Macaca fascicularis: one gene and its partners. The main gene of each other region encodes a partner of the protein of the gene in region 2 in a complex. Links are inferred from orthologs where the notes say so. Each region holds a gene or a part of one and is shown on either strand. Other genes may lie near its edges.

What was found.
Region 1: POLR3E (region 2) and POLR3G share a complex: the UniProt entries of both Homo sapiens proteins name them as parts of the RNA polymerase III complex. The link is inferred for Macaca fascicularis from reciprocal best matches to the Homo sapiens genes POLR3E and POLR3G.
Region 3: POLR3E (region 2) and POLR3C share a complex: the UniProt entries of both Homo sapiens proteins name them as parts of the RNA polymerase III complex. The link is inferred for Macaca fascicularis from reciprocal best matches to the Homo sapiens genes POLR3E and POLR3C.
Region 4: POLR3E (region 2) and POLR3K share a complex: the UniProt entries of both Homo sapiens proteins name them as parts of the RNA polymerase III complex. The link is inferred for Macaca fascicularis from reciprocal best matches to the Homo sapiens genes POLR3E and POLR3K.
Region 5: POLR3E (region 2) and POLR3D share a complex: the UniProt entries of both Homo sapiens proteins name them as parts of the RNA polymerase III complex. The link is inferred for Macaca fascicularis from reciprocal best matches to the Homo sapiens genes POLR3E and POLR3D.
Region 6: POLR3E (region 2) and POLR3F share a complex: the UniProt entries of both Homo sapiens proteins name them as parts of the RNA polymerase III complex. The link is inferred for Macaca fascicularis from reciprocal best matches to the Homo sapiens genes POLR3E and POLR3F.

What each region holds. Positions count from the first base shown.
Region 1 is NC_088380.1:94,490,830-94,494,329, reverse strand, and holds part of POLR3G (DNA-directed RNA polymerase III subunit RPC7), read right to left. Parts: intron 2,045-3,500; coding exon 1,915-2,044; intron 1-1,914. UniProt on the Homo sapiens protein: DNA-dependent RNA polymerase catalyzes the transcription of DNA into RNA using the four ribonucleoside triphosphates as substrates.
Region 2 is NC_088394.1:21,302,143-21,305,642, reverse strand, and holds part of POLR3E (DNA-directed RNA polymerase III subunit RPC5), read right to left. Parts: intron 3,281-3,500; coding exon 3,173-3,280; intron 2,819-3,172; coding exon 2,769-2,818; intron 1,805-2,768; coding exon 1,685-1,804; intron 295-1,684; coding exon 209-294; intron 1-208. UniProt on the Homo sapiens protein: DNA-dependent RNA polymerase catalyzes the transcription of DNA into RNA using the four ribonucleoside triphosphates as substrates.
Region 3 is NC_088375.1:113,586,053-113,589,552, forward strand, and holds part of POLR3C (DNA-directed RNA polymerase III subunit RPC3), read right to left. Parts: coding exon 3,393-3,500; intron 1,296-3,392; coding exon 1,207-1,295; intron 1-1,206. UniProt on the Homo sapiens protein: DNA-dependent RNA polymerase catalyzes the transcription of DNA into RNA using the four ribonucleoside triphosphates as substrates.
Region 4 is NC_088394.1:781,872-785,819, forward strand, and holds the start of POLR3K (DNA-directed RNA polymerase III subunit RPC10), read right to left. Parts: upstream 2,801-3,948; 5' UTR 2,749-2,800; coding exon 2,638-2,748; intron 217-2,637; coding exon 129-216; intron 1-128. Other genes in the region: SNRNP25 (U11/U12 small nuclear ribonucleoprotein 25 kDa protein), read left to right, coding at 3,075-3,218. UniProt on the Homo sapiens protein: Core component of RNA polymerase III (Pol III) which synthesizes small non-coding RNAs using the four ribonucleoside triphosphates as substrates. Can mediate Pol I proofreading of the nascent RNA transcript.
Region 5 is NC_088382.1:25,316,044-25,320,159, reverse strand, and holds the start of POLR3D (DNA-directed RNA polymerase III subunit RPC4), read right to left. Parts: upstream 2,801-4,116; 5' UTR 2,716-2,800; exon of another isoform or gene 2,679-2,715; intron 2,453-2,678; 5' UTR 2,448-2,452; coding exon 2,283-2,447; intron 684-2,282; coding exon 640-683; intron 55-639; coding exon 1-54. UniProt on the Homo sapiens protein: DNA-dependent RNA polymerase catalyzes the transcription of DNA into RNA using the four ribonucleoside triphosphates as substrates.
Region 6 is NC_088384.1:68,818,215-68,822,242, forward strand, and holds the start of POLR3F (DNA-directed RNA polymerase III subunit RPC6), read right to left. Parts: upstream 2,801-4,028; 5' UTR 2,691-2,800; coding exon 2,629-2,690; intron 1,222-2,628; coding exon 1,104-1,221; intron 1-1,103. UniProt on the Homo sapiens protein: DNA-dependent RNA polymerase catalyzes the transcription of DNA into RNA using the four ribonucleoside triphosphates as substrates.

The DNA of each region.
Region 1 (3,500 bases), on a different chromosome or scaffold from region 2:
AATCCCAGCTCACTGCAACCTCCACCTCCCCGGTTCAAACGATTCTCCTGCCTCAGCTTCCTGAGAAGCTGGAATTACAGGCACGGGCCACCACGCCTGGCTAATCTTTGTATTTTTAATAGAGACAGGGTTTCCCCATGTTGGCCAGGTTGGTCTCAAACTCCTGACCTCAGGTGATGCGCCTGCCTCAGCCTCCCAATGTGCTAGGATTACAAGAGTAAGCCACTGTGCCTGGTCTAATTTGATGTACTTTTAAATTAGACATGTGTTTTAATAACAACCACATTCAGCTAAGTAAATCTGTACCATAGAGAAAAGATCAATTTTAAAAGCACTAAAGTATACCCTGCGTTACTATTTTTTCTAGTAAGAATGAATACTGATTAGTTCATTTGGTCTTTTTGAAATCTTTAAAATGAAAAGTTTTATTTTAGAACTCAAACAGATGAAAGCATACAACATATTCATGGAAGTTAAAAATTTCAGTATTAGGCTAGGCGCGGTGGCTCACGTCTGTCTGTAATCCCAGCACTTTGGGTGGCTGATGCGGGCAGACTACTTGAGGTCAGGAGTTCCAGACCAGCCTGGCCAACATGGTGAAACGTCTCTATTAAAAATATCAAAATTAGCTGGGCACGGTATTTCGCGTCTATAATTCCAGCTACTCAGGAGGCTGAGATGTCAGAATCACTTGAACCCAGGAGGCAGAGGTTGCAGTGAGTCGAGATTGCACCACTGCACTCCAGCCTGGGTGAGAAGAGTGAGACTCCATTCTATTACAAAAAAAACCAAAAACAATTAAGTATTTTTGAGATAAAATATCTCTTATCAAACCATTATATAACTCAAAGCAGCTATGTTTTGAGAATTAAAAGAATTTGTCTAAAATGCTTCTTATAATTATAAGCACATGCTAAGATCATTACACAAGGCTTCCTTTTTTGACTCAGCCAATTCAAACTATTCTAGAGAGAGGAAAAATGGAATGTATTTTTAATACTAATAGAATGAGATGACACTATTAATTTCTCATGTTTTAATGATGTTGTTTTGAGAACTCAAAGATGGTATCAGTCTCTCTAATTTCAACAATCAAGGGCAGAAAGTGAAAAATCAATATAGTACTGCTGTGCTAAATAGCTAAGCAGGAATCGTTTCCTTTCCTATAAAACCACTTCCCACTTCTAGTCTGAGACTGTTGAGCCCTCTCCAACTATAATGTTCCCTTTCTTCACTAAGCAGCACTAATGAACACATATTTTACATCATATCAAATACCTGAATGAAAAACCAAACAAAATCAAGTCTTAAAAATTTTTTTAACCTAAATATTAAATAATTGGAGACATGCATAAAGGTTTATGTATAATAATAATCACAGCATTATATATACAAGCAAAAAACTGGAAATAATCTTTAAAAAGCAGGAAATTAGTTACAATTAATATTATATCCACAGAGTGGACTACCAGTCATTAAAAGTCATGTTTGCCAAGAATAATAAGGATATGTGAAAATGCTAATACGCTACTGATTGAAAAAAGATACAAAGTAATATGAATCTAATTTTGTAAAGAGAATATGCATGCATAAGAAAAAATCTGGACTATATAACAAAATATTAATAGTGGTTCTCTAGACATAAGCATGGGTAATTTTTACTTTTCAAAATTTTCCTGTTTTTCATAATTTTCACTGAACATATAAAATTATTGTGAAAGCTATTTCTAAAAATAAAATATCAAAGTTTAAAGTATTTTTTCTGTTAAAGCAACATAAATATGCTTTTTCAAAGTGGTTGATAATTTTTTATTGAATAGAATCAATCAACATTCAATGATTATATATCTTGTGCTTAAACACTGTTTCATCTGTACACATTAAGACACATAATCAAAGACTCCAATACGGTACCTTGTCTTTCTTCAGGTGTTTCAATAAAATAAGGCATTCTTTTCATTGTTTCTCTCAACTCCTGTTTCAAAGCCAGCATATATTCTTCACCTTCTCCTGTTTTCAGTGGCACTGGTTTATAATCTGTATCCTGTTTAAATTAAGACACAAAGGGTTTTTTTCAAATCAATTATGTATTCTAATATCCCTTTTATCTGTATTGTAGAAAAGAGCAGTTTTATTGAAATACTGTGTTTTACAGGCACTAAGTTTTACAATCAACTTAAAAGATGAACTTCTGTAGTCTATTTAACCTGTTAACCCATTTCCTACTTTGCTCTCATATTAGAGGTAAAAAAGACGCATAATTTTCCTATTGGCCCTGAAAACTACACCAATAATCATTTTGTCATACAGTCTGTTGACCTATGTGATTATCTACTTTAAGGATTAAGATACCAGGCCAGGCGCGGTGGCTCACGCCTGTAATCCCAGCACTTTGGGAGGCCGAGGAGGCGGATCACAAGGTCAGGAGATCGAGACCATCCTGGCTAACACGGTGAAACCCCGTCTCTACTAAAAATACAAAGAAAAAAAAATTAGCCAGGTGTGGTGGTGGACACCTGTAATCCCAGCTACTCGGGAGGCTGAGGCAGGAGAATGGCGTGAACCCAGGAGGCGAAGCTTGCAGTGAGCCAAGATCGTGCCACTGCACTCCAGCCTGGGTGACAGAGCGAGAGTCCGTCTCACCAAAAAAAAAAAAAAAAAAAAAATTAACATACCAAAAAAAAAAAGAAAAAGAAAAAGAAAAACTAAGGTACCCAAATGAGGGCAGCTGCTTTAGGTCCTTATTAACCTCAACTAGTGGTGGTGTTATTGGGAAAAAATAAATAAAAAAGCAGCAGCTATAATTTAGTATATGGTTACTATGATATATTCAATATCCAATATCCATTATCTCATTGAAAGGACTACCAATATTTCTCCTTTTACAGTGAAGAAATTGAGAAGTGAATAATTTATAAGCCCATAGAATGAATAAATGGCAAGATAGAGTTTGAAGCTGCATTTCAAGTTTTTAAAATTATACACACATATACATATACACAAATATGCATTTGTATGTGTGTATATATTTACACAAATATATTCATTAACAAGGGGATCTCCAGGGTACATAGTAAAGACATTTCTGGTTTCAGAGAATAAAGATAAGGTACATTCTCAAAATTTGATTAGGAATATATACATTCATGCTGCAACTACTTATTGAGTACCCAACATGGTTAGACTATAGAAGATACCATGATAAACAAGTCAAAGTCCCTGCCCACAGGGAACTTACATTCTAGGAGAGAAACACACAACAAATTAGTAAACAAATGAGGTGACATACAATTTCACATAGTGATAAATGACATAAAAATAAACGAAGGTGGGTAAAGGCAAAGTGACTGACAGTGCAGGGAGGATGGAGGTGCAGTCTACACAGGGTGAGCACGCGTGGCCTCTTGGGGAAGTCACATTTGAGTAGAGATTGGGATAAAATCAGGGAGCTATCCATGCAAAGAGAAGAGATGGTAGGGAACCAGCAGGCCCAAAGGCCT
Region 2 (3,500 bases):
CACCCCTGCCTTCCCCTAGCAGCCCTGAGCCCCTACAGAAAAGGGGACCATCTCTTTCCAGGCCCACCCTCCTGGCCTTCTCCAGGGGACCATGGGCTCCACCCTCATGCTAGAGGAGGGGCCACAGTCCTCGGGGAGGATCCACACCAAGGACCCTCAGGGACCCTGGGTGGGCATCCAGCTTGCATGCTGGCCCAGCCCATCCCACCTGGGTGACTTGACGAGCTCCGTGTTCTCCACTCCGCTCGAGCCGGAGCACAGCAGGTACTGGCGCTCATGCTCAGAGCGACTGTCCTGTTGGAGGAGGGCAGGGTGTGAGAGGAGCCTCAGCTGATGGCCCTGGCCTGGCCCTCTCCCCCAAGGCCTCCCCTGTCTTCCACTCCATGGCCAGCCACAGGACCACATCCAACCTCCTGAGCAGAGCCCCCAAGGCCTCTGACATGGCCTTAGCCACTCATCTTCCTGGCCTTATGACCAGCCCAGCCCCAGCCCTCAAGCCTCAATGCCTTGTCTATAACACAGGCACACCACCAGCAATGACAAAATGATGGCTAACATTCACTGAGCATCTAGGATGAGGTGGACTCTGTTCCACTGACTGTAAATATACTAACCTATCTCATCTTCAAAATAACTTGGCAAGGTAGGTACTATTATTACTACTCTCATTTTATAAATAAGAAAACTGAGGCTCAGAGAGGTTAGGTAACATGCCCAAGGTCACACAGGAAGAAACAGCAGCGTCCAGAAGTTCGACCCCGAGTCTAAGGGTCTGTCAACACAAATCTCTTCCAAGAAGGTCCCAGAGAAATCAGGAGTTGTTCCTTACCCCAGAAAATATTGGGAGCCCTGGCCCATGGTGTCTTTGGAAGCTTCCCTCACTCAGTAATAGTTTCAAGGGTTAGGTTCTAAAGGACCAGGGCCAAGTGGTCATGGCTCACGCCTGCAATCCCAACACTTAGGGAGCCTGAGGCGGGCAGATCACTTGAAGTCAGGAGTTCAAGACCAGCCTGGCCAACATGGCAAAACCCTGTCTCTACTAAAAAAACAAAAACAAAAAAAATTAGCACGTGCCTGTAGTCCCAGCTACCTGGGAGGATGAGGCAGAAGAATCACTTGAACCCGGGAGGTGGAGGTTGCAGTGAGCCGAGATTGAGCCACTGCACTCCAGCCTGGGTGACAGAATGAGACTGTCTCAATAAATAAATAAATAAATAAAAATAAAAGTAAAGAAAGTCAGCGTACCAGATGAAAACCGAGTATAGTAAAACAAATCCCCCCCGGCAGGTATGCTGGGAACTCTGGGGCAACAGCACACGGCCGACTCTCTAGGGCAGAACCGGAGACCGCGTCTGGCCTGCGGTTAGGGCCTGGGCTACAGCGAAAATATGTCACCAGGCACCAGCCCCACTGCAAGCCCACCAAGATGCCCAGGCCCAGGGGCCAAACCCCACCCAGGGAACCAAGGACTCACATCTTTTTCTCTGGCTCCCCTGGGGCCCACGCTAAGTGGCTCGGCTACAGTGAAGTGTCAACTGTCCACAGGACTCGATTCTCTCTCTGTGGCTATGACTCATGAATCTGACTTAAGTTCAAGGTGAGACATGGAGGCCACACCATGGCGCTTCCAGGCACCGGGGTATTTCCCCCCGGGCCCCACGAAGCCCGGCTCACCCTCACTCACCCTCAGGCCATAGTAATGCAGATGGACCCAGGGCTCCTCCGCATGCTTCTTCTGCAGGAACTCGTAGGACTGCACACGGCGCTGGCGGGCCTGCTCTGACTCGGGCCGGGAGAACCGCACCTGCAGCGGGAAGCGGAAGAGGTCATACCCTCGAGCCTGTGACCCTTGCTGGGCTGCCATCTCAGCCCCTGCCAGGAGACCAGAGAACTCCGTATCGGGGTTTTCCACTCTCCCTTCCTTTCCTAGCACAGGTCGTTTAAATTCCGTTCCAACCGTGTCACTCACAGAGCTGCCTGCACACACCAGGGAGCAGCTTATACTTGCTCGTGCCTGCCCAGCCCAGAGGCTTGAGGGGGATTACAGAGTCCCAGGTATCAGAGCGGGCAGAGTCCTTAAAGCACACAGGCCCAGGACGCCTTTTCTAAGTCCCCCAGAGCAGACGGGAGTTTCTAAGGTCCTAATAAGCTACGGAGAGAAGAGGATGAGCTCCCTGCGCCACCTCCATGTCCGGTATGCCGGTGTTCCCCAGTCCTCAAGGATGTCCAAACACTCACCACTCTCTAGCCATACCTGTGTATCATCATTCTACGTGTAGCAGTTTTGTTTTGGTACTACTCATTTTAATCTAAATACGCTTAAATAGGGAAAACTTTACAAACCATAAATGGAAGGTTAAGATTCTTTGAAAAATCTTTAAAATTCAGGAGTAACTATTAAAACAGAAACTATTCATCTGTGCCCCAGAAAGAGGATAGAATCACAGTTAATTGACTTTGGTGCTGTTAAGATACGGGTTTCATGGCAGAGCTGGTCTGCGGGTTCTCGGGGCCCCTGGCCCCAGCTTCCTGCTCCCAGGTGATTCCAGCCAAGCCCCAGGCACCCATCTCCTGGATCCAGCCAGGGCTTCCGTCTTGTGTACAGTTGGGACAAGTCAGGTTGTTCCCTCCAGGTAGCCCAGCAAGAAGGCTCAAAAGCACGGACCCTGTTTGTTCCACCTGCTTTCTGCGAAGACCCACTACCCCTTGGGTCTGTGGTCCTGCTGCTGCCCAGGCAGAACCCTCCTCCTCCAGGGGCCAGGGCTCACCGTGATCTGCTTAACATCGTCTTCCGCCTCATCCTGTGAAGAGTCCCCTGCTGCAAGAGAGACAAGCCACTGACTGCAGTCCTGGGGAGCCTCCACCTCCCTTCTCTCAACCCCACCCACCAGGGAAGCCTCAGGAGGCCAGGGTGCCGGGAATTCTCCTCGCAGAGGGAGCTGCCTAAGCCAGTGGTTCTCAGTTGGGGATAGTTTTGCCCCTTTACCCCGGGGATACTGGGCAATGTGACATTTTTGATTGTCATGACTGTGGGGTGGGTGCTTCTGGCATCTAGTAGGTAGAGACCAAGGATCCTGCTAAACATCCTATCATCGCATCCCTCTTGCCAGGACCAAGCCATCCCACTAGGATGAAGGCGGACAGGCAGCAGGGCTGAGGATCCCGGGCTCACCCTCGTTGGCTGCCTCCCTCTCCCGGTGCTTGGCGTCAGCCTTATCCAGGTAGGAGAAGCTGGGCCGCAGCTGCAGGATGCCATGTAAAGGTGTCAGGTGGAGCTCACCTGGCGGAGGAAGAAGGGCTTGGACCCAACTCTAGAAACCTACCCAGTTTGGCTCAAGGGAGTCACCAAGTCCCCTGAAGACCTAGGCCTACCATCAAACCGCCTCCCATTCCCACTGCAGCCCCCAATCCTAGAGTCTTGGGACCACCAGGCCAGGGACCATCCCCAACTCCACCTGACCCTGCTGGACACAGCAAGCACACAGCCCAGACTAGGACAG
Region 3 (3,500 bases), on a different chromosome or scaffold from region 2:
ATAATCTTTCTAACATATAAATCCAGTTACTTCATTTCTCTGCTTAAAATCCATCAATGGCTCTCCCTTGTCTTCAGGATAAAGTCCACACCTCTTAGACAAACATGTACACAAATAATAAATAATTCCAGTTATAAATATAAATGCTGTGAAGTATATGAAATGAGAAATGTGGTAGGGACCAGTGTAGGAGAAGACAATGGTGCTTGAAGTCTATGAAAAGAGCATTTAAGACAGAAATGATAAAAACAGAGACCACTACATGAAGATCTGGGGACAAACATTTGAAGCCAGAGGCATGATAAGGGCCAAAGTCTAAAGACTAGAAAGAGTTTGACATGTTTAAGAGATAGAAAGTCAGTAGGGGGAACACAGTGAGCAAGACGGAGATGGGTCAGAGGTGAGGTTGAAAAGCCTGTCTCCAACAGATCATACGAAGACCTAGATCATGTAAGGCTTCCTAGCCCGTATCTTGGATTTCTTCTAAGAGTAAAGGAAAGCTATTAAAGGAGTCTAATCAGTGGATGTATTGTTTTGTTTTGAACTTAGAAAGTCATTTTGGCTACTAAGTAGGTAAGAATGCAGCTAGGGAGACCATTAACGAAAGGGTTAGGAAAGAGTTGATGAGAGACGGCAGTTAAAAGATGAGAAATGGTTGGATTTGAGGTAATTTTGGAAACTGGGCTGATATGTTTTACTGTGAGATTAGAAAGTTCCAAGGATTTTGGCCTAAGCAGAAATGGTGGTGTCCTAGGTGGCTGGCCTAGGTGGTAGTGTCTTTTACTAAGAGGAGGAATCAATTATTCTGTTTTGGCCACACTAAGTTTGAGATGCTTACTGACATCTTTATAGGCATGCTAAGAAGGCACTGAATATAAGTTCAGGCCTATGTATAGTTTTTAGACCCATTTTTCACCACTGTTTTTAGGTTCTTGCCATATTGAGCAATCTAAACTTTTTCTAGGCCCCTTTTTACATAGCCTGTTATCTCTGTTCAATGAAAGAATTAAGGCTCAGAAGGGAGACAGTAATGATTCATTCTTTGTGAATGAATAGAATGGTTCATTCTATTTCTAATATTTAATGAGGTTCATAATCCTACTGCTTCTTAGCTCAGGAAGCTTTAAGCTCTCTTGGGGCTTGTTATCTGAGTGCTCTTTCTGGCCTGCTTCAGGGTGAGGACTTCTAATCAAGAAGCCCCATTACCTCCTTGTTATCTGTAGTATGTTTTGGTCTCTTGGCCTTGGGTTCCCCAGCAGCATCTTCATCAGATGATCTGCGCCTTTTACCTTTTCCTGCCAAACAAATAATTGAACACTTAGACTGTATGACTGTATGACAGCAAATGACCAAACATGAGAGCAGGTGTCTTTCATTCCAAAGACATCTATAGCTGCCTCTAGATCAGAGTTGCTTAGGGGGCTGAAGAGCTATAAGAAATTCAAGTAAAGGATGAAATGATCTGAAACTCAACATGTTCAAAAAGAAGCTTATAGTCTTTCTCCTCCAATACTGTCTTTCATGGCCAATGATATCACCATTCTTCCACATGTGCAAGTCAGACACAGAAATGACATTCTTAATACTTGTCTCCTTCACCCTCTGTTTCATTTTCCACCAGTCTGTCAACTTTTACTTTGCCCCATTCTCCCATCCTTTCTGTAGACAAAAAATCTTTTAAAAGTATAAATTAGATCATGTCATTTCCTAAAAAATCCTTTAGTGGTTTTCCTTTGCTCTTAGCATAAAGAACAAATGCTCTATAAGGTCTTACTTGATTTAGTCCCTGCCTGTTTCCCATCCAAGTACTAAGCAGGTCGATCCTGATTAGCTTCTGATATCAGACCCCTGCCTATCTATGTCTCTAACCTTATCTCATGCCTCTTTGCTTTGCTTACAATGCTTTAGCTATACTGACACTCTCTCATTTCCTCAAATGCTTTTTTTTGAGATGGAGTCTTGCTCTGTTACCCAGGCTGGAGTGTGACAGAGCTGGAGTGCAATGGCATGATCTCAGATCTTGGCTCACTGCAAGCTCTGCCTCCCGGGTTCATGCCATTCTCCTGCCTCAGCCTCCAGAGTAGCTGGGACTACAGCACCCGCCACCATGCCCGGCTAATTTTTGTATTTTTTTTTTTTTTAGAGACAGGGTTTCAACGTGTTAGCCAGGATGGTCTTGATCTCCTGACCTTGTGACCCGCCCGCCCTGGCCTCCCAAAGTGCTCGGATTACAGGCATGAGCCACCGTGCCTGGTCTACAAATGCTGGTTTTTTTTTTTTTTTACTACATACTATTCCCTTTGCCAAAAATGCTTTTCCTCTGTTACCTCACTGTTAGCTTCCACTTTAAATCTTAGCTCAAATGTCACCTTCTCAAAGAAACATGAGGCCTAAACTCCCAGATGAATCCCGTCCCTCATTATATATTTTCTTCTTTTTTTCTGAGACGGTCTCACTCTGTCGCCCAGGCTGGCGTGCAGTGGCGCAGTCTTGGCTCACTGCAACCTCTGTCTCCTGGGTTCAAGCAATTCTCCTGCCCCAGCCTCCCGAGTAGCTGGGATTACAGGTGTACACCACCATACCTGGCTAATTTTTGTAATTTTAGTAGAGATGGGGTTTCACCATGTTGCCCAGGCTGGTCTGGAACTCCTGGCCTTATGCAATTCGCCTGCCTCAGTCTCCCAAAGTCTCCATTATATATTTTCTTTTTCTTTTTTAGATGGAGTCTCACTCTGTTGCCCAGGCTGGAGTGCAGTGGCCGCATCTCAGCTCACTGCAAGCTCCGCCTCCCGGGTTTATGCCATTCTCCTGCCTCAGCCTCCCAAGTAGCTGGGACTACAGGCGCCTGCCACCTCGCCCAGCTAGATTTTTGTATTTTTTAGTAGAGACGGGGTTTCACCGTGTTACCCAGGATGGTCTGGATCTCCTGACCTCGTGATCCACCCGTCTCGGCCTCCCAAAGTGCTGGGATTACAGGCTTGAGCCACCGCGCCCGGCCTCCATTATATATTTTCATAACACCTCATACTTTACCTTCATGGTACTTATCACGGTTTAATTATATATCGATGTGATTTTCTGATTAATGTATGTGTCATAATACTATGACAGTTCCTTCATAGGAATATTTCCTTCATAGTACTTATCACCGTTTAATGATATATCGATGTGATTTTCTGATTAATGTATGTCTCCTAAAGCCCCATGACAGAGACCATGATTTTTTCATTGTTATCCACCACGATGTTTGACACATAGCAAATGTTCAGACTGATTGGTAAATCAGTCTGATTTACCAAGGTAAATGTTCACCTGATTCATACATTTGATAATCAATCAAGAAGAATCCACAATTAAGGCAAGTCACAGTTCCAGGGGTTAAAATTCCTTACCTATCAAGCTCAGCTTAGGAACCAGGTACATGTCCTTTTCATTGATGACAAGTGTGGGGGCAGGTGGTGGTGGCCCAGGGTCTGAATTCTCAGTGGTAGGTACTGAGG
Region 4 (3,948 bases), about 21 Mb from region 2:
TTATTCAAAAACCATTTCTATTTTTAGAAACCTACATCATTTATATGACATCACAGACTCTGCCATGCAGTGGCATCAACAGCCTCATAATTATCCAGTTTAGCAACAGAAACAGTGTTCCCTCTTACCTGCAGTAGAGTCAACATTCTCCCAGGCAGCTGCTCCACCAAGCACATCATCCACTTCTTTCAGTTTTGGGTACTTCCGATTTGTTACCTAACAAAAACAACACTTCAGACTCCAGGTAACTGCATAGCACAAACCTGGGCTGCCAAACCTCGAATTTCAGGATTATATAAGAGTTCACTCTTCCCACAGTTTCCAACTCCAAACTCCCACAACACAGTACAAAATGTAGTAGCATGCAAACATTAAGACTGAGGTAGCACCAACATATTCTTTTTTTTGTTTTGTTTTGTTTTGTTTTTTGAGACGGAGTCTCGCTCTGTCGCCCAGGCTGGAGTGCAGTGGCGCGATCTCGGCTCACTGCAAGCTCCGCCTCCTGGGTTTACGCCATTCTCCTGCCTCAGCCTCCTGAGTAGCTGGGACTACAGGCGCCCGCCACCGCGCCCGGCTAATTTTTTGTATTTTTAGTAGAGACGGGGTTTCACCGTGGTCTCGATCTCCTGACCTTGTGATCCGCCCGCCTCGGCCTCCCAAAGTGCTGGGATTACAGGCGTGAGCCACCGCGCCCGGCGGTAGCACCAACATATTCTAACTTCTAAAAATAAAGGTATTCTGGCCAGACGTCGTGGCTCATGCCTGTAATCCCAGCACTTTGGGAGACCAAGGCAAGTGGATCACCTGAGGTCAGGAGTTCGAGACCAGCCTGGTCACCGTGGTGAAACCCCGTCTTTACCAAAAATACAAAAATTAGCTGGGGGGTGGTGGCAGGAGCCTGTAATCCCAGCTACTCAGGAAGCTAAGGCAGAAGAATTGTTTGAACCCGGGAGGCAGAGGTGGCAGTGAGCCGAGATTGCACCATTGCACTCCAGCCTGGGAAGCAAAGCCAGACTGTGTCTCAAAAAAAAAAAAAAAAAGCTGGGCACGGTGGCTCACGCCTGTAATCCCAGCACTTTGGGAGGCCAAGGCAGGCGGATCACAAGGTCAGGAGATCGAGACCATCCTGGCTAATACACGGGGAAAGCCTGTCCACTAAAAACACAAAAAAATTGGCCAGGCGTGGTGGCTCACACCTGTAATCCCAGCACTTTGGGAGGCCGAGGCGGGCGGATCACAAGGTCAGGAGATTGAGACCATCCTGGCTAACACGGTGAAACCCTGTCTCTACTAAAAATATTAAAAATTAGCCGGGCGTGGTGGTGGGCGCCTATAGTCCCAGCTACTAGGGAGGCTGAGGCAGGAGAATGGCGTGAACACGGGAGGCGAAGCTTGCAGTGAACCGAGATGGCGCCACTGCACTCCAGCCTGGGCGACAGAGGGAGACTCCGTCTCAAAAAAAAAAAAAAAAGTAAAAGTATTCTAAAAAGTAAAAAGAAAATATGTATTATCAAAGGAAAACAACAAGTTATAATAAAGCATGCATCATCTGCTTACTGAACACCTACTATATTCTAGGTTTCATTTTAGTTGTTCAGAATATAACATAGAAGGGAACAAAACGGAAAACCTCTGCCCTCCTAGACCTTAGGTCCTACTTTTTTTTTCTTTTTTTTGAAACGGAGTTTCACTCTTGTTGCCCAGGCTGGAGTGCAGTGGCGCGATCTTGGCTCACTGAAACCTCCGCCGCCCAAGTTCAAGCCATTCTCCTGCCTCGGTCTCCCGAATAGCTGGGATTACAGGCGCCTGCCACCATGCCCGGCTAATTTTTGTATTTTTAGTAGAGATGGGGTTTCATCATGTCAGTCAGGCTGGTCTCGAACTCCTAACCTCAAGTGATACACCCGCCTTGGCCTCCGAAAGTGCTGGGATTAGAGGCGTGAGCCACGGCGCCCGGCCAGGTCCTACTATTAATAAACAAAGCACACGATACATTACGTAATGTATTCGAAGGTAACAAGCCCTGTGGAAACAATTACAAAGGGAAGGAGGATACATTGGACGGAGGGGCTGCAATTTAAAATACGGTAAAGACAAGACCAATGAGTAAGGTGGCTATCTAGGGGAAGAGCGAAGTTAGTAACAGTAAGTGCAAAGGCCCTGCGAGCGCCATGTGCACAATGAGAGATCGTCCAGGAGGCTGGTGTTGATGGGGCAAAGGGCAATAGGACTTGAAATCGGAGAAGCAAGTCGGGGAGGGGGTCAGTGTCTGAACATGGTAGGCCCTGGAAGAATTCCAGCTTTTCGTCTGCACGAGCTGGGGAACGGCCGAAGGTTTCTGCGCACAGCACGGACCTACGTGCCTCAGCTTTAAGGGAATCGCCGTGGCCGCTGCTGTGAACGCAGAGGAGGGCGCAAGCGTGGGAGCAGGAACCCAAGGAGGCGGGAAACGGTGGGGCTTTCTGAGTGTGCTGGAGCCCACAGAAAGAGCCCACAGATCTGCTGCAGACCGGAAGGGGGAGCGAGAAAGAGCGGACAGAGGCAGACGCCGGGGCTGGCGGCGATGGCGCCGCAGTCGGAGGAAGGGGAAGGCCTGCGAGAGGCGCCCGCGGCCCAGCGCCGGCCTTCGGGTCCCACCTTGCGGGTGATGTTGTGCACGTAGGGGCACGTGTTGCAGGCGAAGCGGTGGCAGCGTTGTCCCTCCTCCACGATCAGCCCGTTCCCGCAGCCGGGGCAGAATAGCAGCATGGTCTCGAACTCCGCAGGCGCCAACCACCGGCAGCTCACACTGCCGCTCAGCGCCGACGCGCGGCCCGCCTCGAGCTTACATTGGTCCTGGCGGCCGCCTCGCCCCGCCCACCAACCAATAGACAGGGCGATTCTGCGCTCCCAGCCCTGCTGCTGGCTGTCTCGCACTTGTCATTGGTCACTGCAGCCGCCCCACCCCTCGGCGCACCAATGGCTGGGCGGCCTCGCTGGGACCGGCCGCAGTTCCTGCGCGTGCGCGCTTGGCCTCCCTAGTGCGTACTGGAAGTGCCGGCAGAGACCGGCTGAGAGGTGCTGCCCTGGAGGAGATGGAGGCCGCGGGTGGGTCCGAGGCGCAAGAGGAAGATGAGGACGAAGAAGAGGCGCTGCCGCACTCCGAGGCCATGGACGTGTTCCAGGAGGGTCTGGCTATGGTGGTGCAGGACCCGCTGCTCTGCGATCTGCCGATCCAGGTGTGTGCTGGCGGGGGCCAGGGGGGCGGGAGTCGTTCCCCGGGGGCCGGGCGTCCGGGCGCGCGCAGCCTCTGAAGGTGCTGGTGGGAGGCTGCGGCCCAAGGCTGAGGAAGGCGCCTCTGGGCGTAAACAAGGGTCTTTACCTTGGCCAGGCACACTCGCCTGCGGCGCGAAGTTTAAAGAGGAACCAAAACCCTCATTAGTGAGTGACATTAAATGAAATTTTAATGTAATTGTATTTAGGGGGCTGGGGGGACAGGGTCTTGCTCTGTCGCCCAGGCTGGAGTGCAGTGGAGCGATCTTGGCTCACTGCAGCCTGCACCTCCTGAGCTCAAGCCATCCTCCCACCTCAGCCTCCGGAGTAATTGGGACCACAGATGCGCGCCACCACACCCGGCTAATTTTTAAATTTTTTGTACAGAGGGAGTCCCACTATGTTGCCCAGGCTGGTGTCAAACTCCTGGGCTCAGGCGATTCTCCTACCTCAGCCTCCCAAAAAGCTGGGATTATAGGTGTGAGCCACCCACTCGGCCTGTAATAGCTTTAAAAGTCAAAGGTGATGCAAAAAAAAAAAAAAAAAAAAAAAAAACCCTACGATAAACGAAAAAACTTAGTTCCATTTGCCTCAAGCGTCAATATGCTTTGGCACGATACTTTTTATTTATTTGAGACTGAGTCTTGATTTGTCGCCAGGCTGGAGTGTAGTGGTGCGATCTTGGCTCACTGCAAC
Region 5 (4,116 bases), on a different chromosome or scaffold from region 2:
CGGTCTCTGTCCCTTTCACGCTTCTCCTTCTTGACAGTTACTTCTTCCTTGGGCCTGGAAAAAAGAATGGATTAAGGGAAACCACTCACTCACTGTGTCTCCAAAAACTGGCCTTACTCTCCCATACCACTTCACTCCAAGACAGCGGAGAGTTTGAGCCAATAATTACACCATGAGAAGCAGAATCCAATCCTAATTCTAGCACTTTTCTCACTTCCTTGATGAGGCAGGATTTTTTCAGTTTGCTTTACTTTACGTTCTTGTCCAAAAATGTAGATTTTTGTTTGCATTGGGACTGAAAGCAGGAAGGCAGAAATGCAAAGGAACTTCAGGGAAAGCGTGATACATCTTTGTTTAAACTATTGGCTCTCAACTCGGGCCATCAAAGAGAATCACTCCATTCTACTGCCAACAAGTTAAATCACAATTTCTAGAGATGGAACCCTAGACACCAGTATTTTTTTTTTTTAAAGCTTAAACATTAGAATCACCTAGGAGCCAGGGTTGAAAATCACTAGTGAAAAGAACTAAAGATATAAATTTAAATTTTGGAGCCACAAACCTACTTATTTCTCCCCAAAGCCCCAAATTCAGAGCAAGTAAATAAGGGGCAAGTATTCAGAAGGACTAGCTACTTACTCTTCCTTGATCTTCCGACTGATGATATTTGGGGTGAAGGTTTTCTGAAAGCAAAATACAGGAGTCACTGATGTGTTAGGTCCTGATCCCAAAGTACAGAGGAAAATAAAAACTCCCAACGGGCATCTTCTACAGACCACGGCCACCATGACTCTCTTTGGCACATTCCACAGTGCTGTCAGTTTTCTAGATACACGTGTGCCTGAAAAGGAGGAACGTCATGGTGTGGTGGCAGTGGAGTTATGCATAGAAGAAAGGGGCACCAAAAACCATTTTTAACCAGCAGCCTTAGGAAAGAAGATCCTGAAAGAAGGTCCTCTGGGACTTCTAAAAGCAAAGGAATTTCTCTGGTCTCACCTCTTATCTTCAAACTGCTATAGAGACCAGTCAGTATCATGGGGGAACATCTCTAGCAGCAAGGCCTAAGTAGGGAAGGCCACAGATCTGCCAATACTCTCAATCACTGTTGGCAGTGTTTTTCCATATTTTCCAAGGCAAAGTTAGGTTTCTAAAGACTGCTTTATGTCCAGGCGTGGTGGCTCACGCCTGTAATCGCAGCACTTTGGGAGGCCAAGGCAGGTGGATCATGAGGTCAGGAGTTCAAGATCAGCCTGGCCAAGATGGTGAAACCCCGTCTCTACTAAAAACTACAAAAATTAGCCAGGTGCGGTGGCAGGCCTCTGTAATCCCAGCTACTCGGGAGGCTGAGGGAGGAGAATCGCTTGAACCCCAGGAGGTGGAGGTTGCAGTGAGCTGAGATGGTGCCTCTGTGCTACAGCCTGGGCGACAGAAAGAGACTCTGTTAAAAACAAAACAAACAAACAAAAAAAACTGCTTTATTTGGCCGGGAGCGGTGGCTCACGCCTGTAATCCCAGCACTTTGGGAGGCCGAGGTGGGTGGATCACAAGGTCAGGGGTTCAAGAACAGCCTGGCCAACATGGTGAAACCTTGTGTCTACTAAAAATACAAAAATCAGCTGGACATGGTGGCGGGCACCTGTAATCCCAGCTACTCAGGAGGCTGAGGCAGGAGAATCACTCAAACCCGGGAGGCAGAGGTTGCAGTGAGCCAAGATCATGCCATTACACTCCAGTTTGGGGGACTAGGGCGAGACTTCGTCTCAAAAAAAAAACCCAAAAACCTGCTTTATTCTTCTGTCATCCTGACACCACCCCTTTCTGGGCTACTCTTGACATCCACAGTCATATACACATGGGACAGCCCACAGAGCCTCGAATGCCATGCCTAGGATTCATGATACTCTAGATAACAAGTTTGCACACTGAGATGGTGAATTCTGAACGCTCTAAGACTGTGAAGTTTATGCCTGCCTGGCTTTCATGGGTTTCTTAAAAATGTCCAAACACACAATAAGAGTAAATAAACACTGTTCAAATTACTTTTGAACGACTTTAACTTATTAGGATTCTCTGTCTTTCAACCACCTCTGGGACTCATTTCAACATTTTGTACTCAGTACCTAGATTTGAAGATAGGACAGGCTCCCTAGAATTTAAAGAGGGGTAGGCTTGAGGCCCAACGACACTCCTGACACATAGTAGGCCCTACACAAACATCAGTTGAATGCCGGGGCTTGGAATTCAAGGTAGTTGAGTTTCTTTAGAAACGCGCCGTTGGATACCTTCTTGACTCCCCCGAGGGTGAGGTCCCTGGAACGGATGGAGGGAAGGCGGCCGGGGGTGAGGGGAGGCGCCGGCCGCCGCCCGATGAGCCCCCGGGCCCCAGTCAGGAGGGGTCGGGGCCCTCCCGGAGTGCTGGGCTCGCCGGCGGCGTTTCCTTCCGACATGTTGCCTGGGAGAGAAGGGGGGACGAGATTACCAGAGTGGACTGACACGCGGACCCTGGCGGAACCCAACCCCCTTGCTTTCCGGTCCCCCAGTCGGTGCGTCCCTCCAGTGGCCTCTCAGCTCCTCCCCTCCCACGTGGCGAGATTCCCGGGACCACCCAGGTGAGAGCCTTTGGCTCGCGACACGCCCTCTCTCCAGGAACCCCGCCCAGGAACCAGGCAGGGACGCACCCGGGCCGCGGCTCCACACCGCGCGTCACCACTTCACCTGCGACGCGACCCGCTGCCAGCTTTAGGTCTCCGCACCGGGCGGAAGTCTGCGTGGCACCGCCTGGGCGCTGCCATCTTGGCACGGGCCGGATGTGACGTTTCGGGGGCGGGACTGGGCCACAGTATTTATCAGGCGGCGCTTCGCTCCCCTCCGCCTTCTCTTCCCGGTTCTTCCCGGAGTCGGGAAAAGCTGGGTTGAGAGGGCGAAAAAGGATGAGGGAACCGGTCTGGGCTACGCTATGTGGCGGTGCTCGGGGGTCTTGGCCCCCGGGCGGTGGCGTGGAGGTGCCGAGATCAGGGTCGCGGGTCTTGTCGGCCGCCAAGCCGCAATGTGAGGCTTCGCCTCGGCGGAGCCCCTGGGAGCTTGGGGGTAGCTGCTCGGGATGGGACGAGGGGCGCGGCACAGAGAGCGAGACCTGGACTTAGAGTCGGGGAGTCTTGGGCCGTGCCGAGCCCTGTCTGCGGGTTCTCCATGGTGACCTTGGAGTGGTCACTACCTCCGGGCAGCGACCTCGCCCACTCTCGGGGACCCCTTCCCTGTGCTCCTGGTGGAGTCCTGGGGTGAGGCTGTGAGGGCAGCGTTGGAACAGCCGCAGTGGACCAACTGGTGCCCAGTCACACCCGCTTGGGATCACGAAGGCGGTGGCCCTCGGGTGCGCTCTTGGTCAAAGCCTGGACAGAATCGGAATACCAAGTTTGCTCTACTGCTGGAGGAATTTAAAGAACTTTTATTGACTCCAGCGTTTGTGATATAAAAAGTGTCGTTTAATGTTATCTCCCATCCCCCCAGACCGTATAAAAACATTATTACGGGGAGTTTGAGGAAAGGAAATCGTTTCTACCAGAATGCCACGTAGAGTACTACTATTAAAAATTTTGTAATGTGTCTAGTAGTCTTCACAGAGTTGTATCACAATTTCGTATCCTTTTTCTTTTCTTTTTTTGAGGCGAGGTTTCTGCATACTGCAACCTCTGCCTCCCAGCCTCAAGCCATGCTCCCACCTCAGCCTCCCAAGTAGCTGGGACTCTAAATACATGCCACCACGCCCGGCTAATTTTTTTTTTCTTTTTTCTTTTTCTTTTTCTTTTTTCTTTTTTTTTTTTTTTTGTATTTTTGGTAGAGACGGGATTTCACTGTGTTGCTCACACTGGTCTTGAACTCCTGAGCTCGAGTGATGCCACCCGCCTCGGCCTCCCAATGTGCTGGGGTTACAGGCGTCAGCCACTGCGCCTGGCCTGTATCCTGCTTTTTCAAATAACATTTCTCTGTTACGGCATCAAAGACTGCATAGTTCTCCAGTGGCTGTATCATGATTTAAGTATTTCCCTGATTGTTTCTTTTTTCCCTGTTTTAAATAATGCTGTAGTGAATATCTGGTACATTCGACGTGCTTTTTTT
Region 6 (4,028 bases), on a different chromosome or scaffold from region 2:
ATGTTTTAATGATGAGGGAAAGTAAGGAGACATTTAGAGCATCCGGCACCACTAGGGGATTTTTAGACAGTCTTGCTTGTTTGTTTGTTTCTGGACAGTTAGAGAATAGCTTCAATGATATATTTCATTGCGATATCACCGGGGCCTAAGGCTGCACTTCCTCCCCAAGGCCCAGCATTCTTCATTCAACTGGACTCATTCTTGCTCCTGAAATGCTCAGTGACAATGTGGAGAATGAAACCCTGATGACTGGGCTCTGTGACAACTCATAGAAAAATCGGGGGTTGGAAGGGGGTGGTATATTTTATAGGAAATGGTCCAACACCAGTAGTAGGAAGTGAACAGAAGGTGAGAACAGACTAGACCTATGTACGGCAGTGGCAATTAATAATACAACAGTTATAACATAATACATTTATTTCATTTGTCTTATAATGCATAATTGTTTCTTTTTTCAATTCAGGCAGTTTGAGGTATTTCCTGGTTTAGAGTCTTATCAGTCAAACCTAACATACTTTCTCGTTTTATGACTGCTGTATTAGGGTTCTCCAGAGAAACAGAACCAATAGGATACATCTCTCTCTTGAAAGATTCCTCAGAAGGTATTTGCTCTGTGATTATGGAGGCTGAGGAGTCCCATAATCTGCCCTCTGCTAGCTGGAGACCCAGGAAAGTTAGTGTTGGAGATCAAAGGGCTGAGAGCAGAGAGCTCAGGGTGTAGATGCCAGTCCAAGTCTGAAGGTCTGAGAACCAGGAGTGCTGAGGGCACAAGATCCATAGCCCAGATCAAGATTGAATTCACTCTTTGAATTCAAAGAGTGAATTCAATCTTCTTCTGCCACTTTGTTCTATTTAGGCCCTGAATGGATTGGATGATGCTCACCCACACTGGACCCACATCTACTTTACTGGGTTCACCAATTCAAAATGCTAACCTCTTCCAGAAACACCCTCACAGACACTCCAATAAAATGTTTAACTAGATATCTAGGAATCCTGTATCTTAGTCAAGTTGACATGAAATTAACCATCACAACTACATAATAAAAACCAATGATAATCAGCGTATCAGTAATTATGCAAAATAGTTAGATTCACCTTACCATAGACAACAACCTATTGATGGCTACTGCCCGCTGCTGGGCCTCTATATGAGGCATTTCATTCTGAATTACTTGGTCTGTGATTCCATGAGGGAACTGGTGACATAATTCTATAATCCTAGAAACAAGGGTATTAATGTTATCCTTCATGGTTACCTGTTTCAAGAGACAGTAGGGGTAAAAACACAAGTAAAATAGTTTGAAATTGTGCCTTTTTCACATTTGGAAGACAATCTGGGTTTCTGCGATGGTTTTGGATCAAAGCATTTTAGACACTGAAGAAGATGATTTCTAAATACATGATTACAGTATTATTGTTATTTAAGAAGAATATTTCTTTTCCTCACTAATAACTTTAAATTAGAGCAAAAGTCTAATGAAATCACAGAAATAATATTAAAGCTGAGACTTCAATTTTCTCAGGTGTAATAAGTATGACAAAGTTAAGCCATAAATCTGCAAGCAGGAGGCAAATGCAGACGTTTCTGGTGGGAAGCCAAAATTTATGATAATTCACCAAAATGGGGCCTGTTTTGGGAATTATATCTACCAAACAAAGTAGGTCAAAATCTTCACCTAGTCAACATCAACAAATTATTATTCCTAACAGTTTGAGAAAGTTACGTCTTTTAAAAGTACGTGATAATCTAAGAGTGGCAGTGCCTCGGTAAAAAATATAAAAGGCGGTGGTGGCTCACGCCTGTAATCCCAGCACTTTGGAAGGCCAAGGCGGGCGGATCACGAGGTCAGGAGATCGAGACCATCCTGGACAACATGGTGAAACACCGTCTCTACTAAACTACAAAAAATTAGCTGGGCGTGGTGGTGCGCGCCTGTAGTCCCAGCTACTCGGGAGGCTGAGGCAGGGGAATCGCTTGAACCCAGGAGGCGGACGTTGCAGGGAGGCGGAGCTTACAGTGAGCCGAGATCCTGCCACTGCACTCCAGCCTGGAAACAGAGCGAGACTCCGTCTCAAAAACAAACAAACAAATAAACAAATAAAAATAAAACTGGCAGAGGCTTTGGGTATCCTAAAAGTCTTGAGTTCAATACTGCACTGAAACTACCTGACTTAATGTTGCTTCCTAATCACCAACTGCGCCCTAACTCCGCCTAAACGTTTTGACATAGACGTTCCCTTCGTGACAAGAGCGATCCTGGATCAGAACAAGCATTCACAAGTGTTCTAAAGGGAAGGAAAGCTGAGGGTCTCCTCTCAAAGCAATGATCACGTCAAAGTAGGAAGGCAGCGCATCATCACAACTTCCCCAAAAGTATCAGGGCAAAGCGAGTCAGCTACACAAAGTTGCAAGCTGTCAAGCCCATTTTGAACTTCTTGAGTTCTGCTCTCCCAGGATGGGAGGTTAGAAGTGGATCCAGAACCTCGCAATCGTTTTCCCGCGTGCTCACCCAACCCGATCCGGCCACTCCCGAGGGATCCGGGTGAAGGGGTCCGGCTGCCCAAATGCTGGCCGCCTGATGGAGTCCCAAGCCGGAGTCTCACTGGTTTCCCTGTTTGGTTTACCTGTTTTCTATTTCGACCGGATCCGCGTCGGGCGGCTGCACCTTCACCTTCACCTCCGCCATGAGGGAGCAGTTCCTGACGCCTGGGGAAAAGATGCACGGAGCGGCCGGGTAGCAAGCGGGAGAACCCTGGGAACCAGTGAAGGATAGCGCTTAGCGGAGAACGAGGGGCTTTTTTCCTCGTGTCGCAGCGGTCCTTCCTTGCTTTTCGGCGGGAGGTGGCCAAGTCGCGCCTGCTCCGGTCCACTTACAGGCGCCGCTACAGCTTCTTATCCTTGTTTTTCAGAATGTCAATGCCCATCGGACGCACAAGCTTGGTTCCTTCATTCTGAGTTGGGAAGCCAACTTTTAGCACTTTGCAACTCTGTAAAGGAATATTCTTAGATGCCTATGGGAAAGCCCAGGGAAAGGAGCTCAAGGCGGGTTCCAGGCTCCCGGCGAGGCGGCAGGGGCGGGGCTAGTTGCTAAGAAGCTGCCTTGCCGCCAATCATCTGCCCAGCTCCAAGTGGGCGGGGCACGGCTCGCAGCGTCTGTGGTAACCCGAGCGGCGGCGAAGGAGGAGGCAAGAGGCGGTGAGAGGCCGGCGACTGGGTTGGGAACTGCAGAGATGGATTAGGGGTCCCGATCACGGGTCCCCCGGTTAGAGGAAGAGGAGGGCGGCTAGAGGAGGGGAAGAGCTTTCCTTACTCCAGCCGAAAGGATGCAGGTGTCCTTGGCAGCCCCTGACGGGCGGGGACAACCAAACGGGGTTCCGGATCCGGGTTGCGAGGGGACGGTCCACTTTGGGAGAGTTGAGGGGTCTGGGGATCCTGTGGATTGCTGCACGTTGCCATTTGGGCCTGGCGGATCCGCCTTTTTCTTGATTCCCTTTGCGTGGGGCCCACTGGCCACCCCAGCTTCGTAAGGGCAGCTGCTAGTTGATGCTCGCGAATTACCTCCTCTCCTACATATTTTTTATTTAGAAATAATTTTTCAACTATTTTTATTTTATCTGCCTTTCACTTGAATGGAAATGCGACTATAGGCAAGTCTCAAGTTCAGCTACACTCCTGTAGGAGCTATTGCTGTGCTGTCAGTATCTGCAGTTTATATTCTTGGCCCTCGATCTGGAACTATCCAACGAGGCATTAAGTTCACCCCTTAAATTAGTTACCCCACTTTTGAAAATACAGTCTGTGACAAAGCTCAAACTGCAGAGATGTCAGATCAGCATTATTAGAACTGCAGCAGGCGGCCGGGCACGGTGGCTCACGCCTGTAATCCCAGCACTTTGGGAAGCCGAGGCGGGCGGATCACGAGGTAAGGAAATCGAGACCATCCTGGCTAGCACGGTGAAACCCCGTCTATACTAAAAATACAAAAAAAAAAAAACAAAAAAAAAACCAAAAACAAACAAAAAAA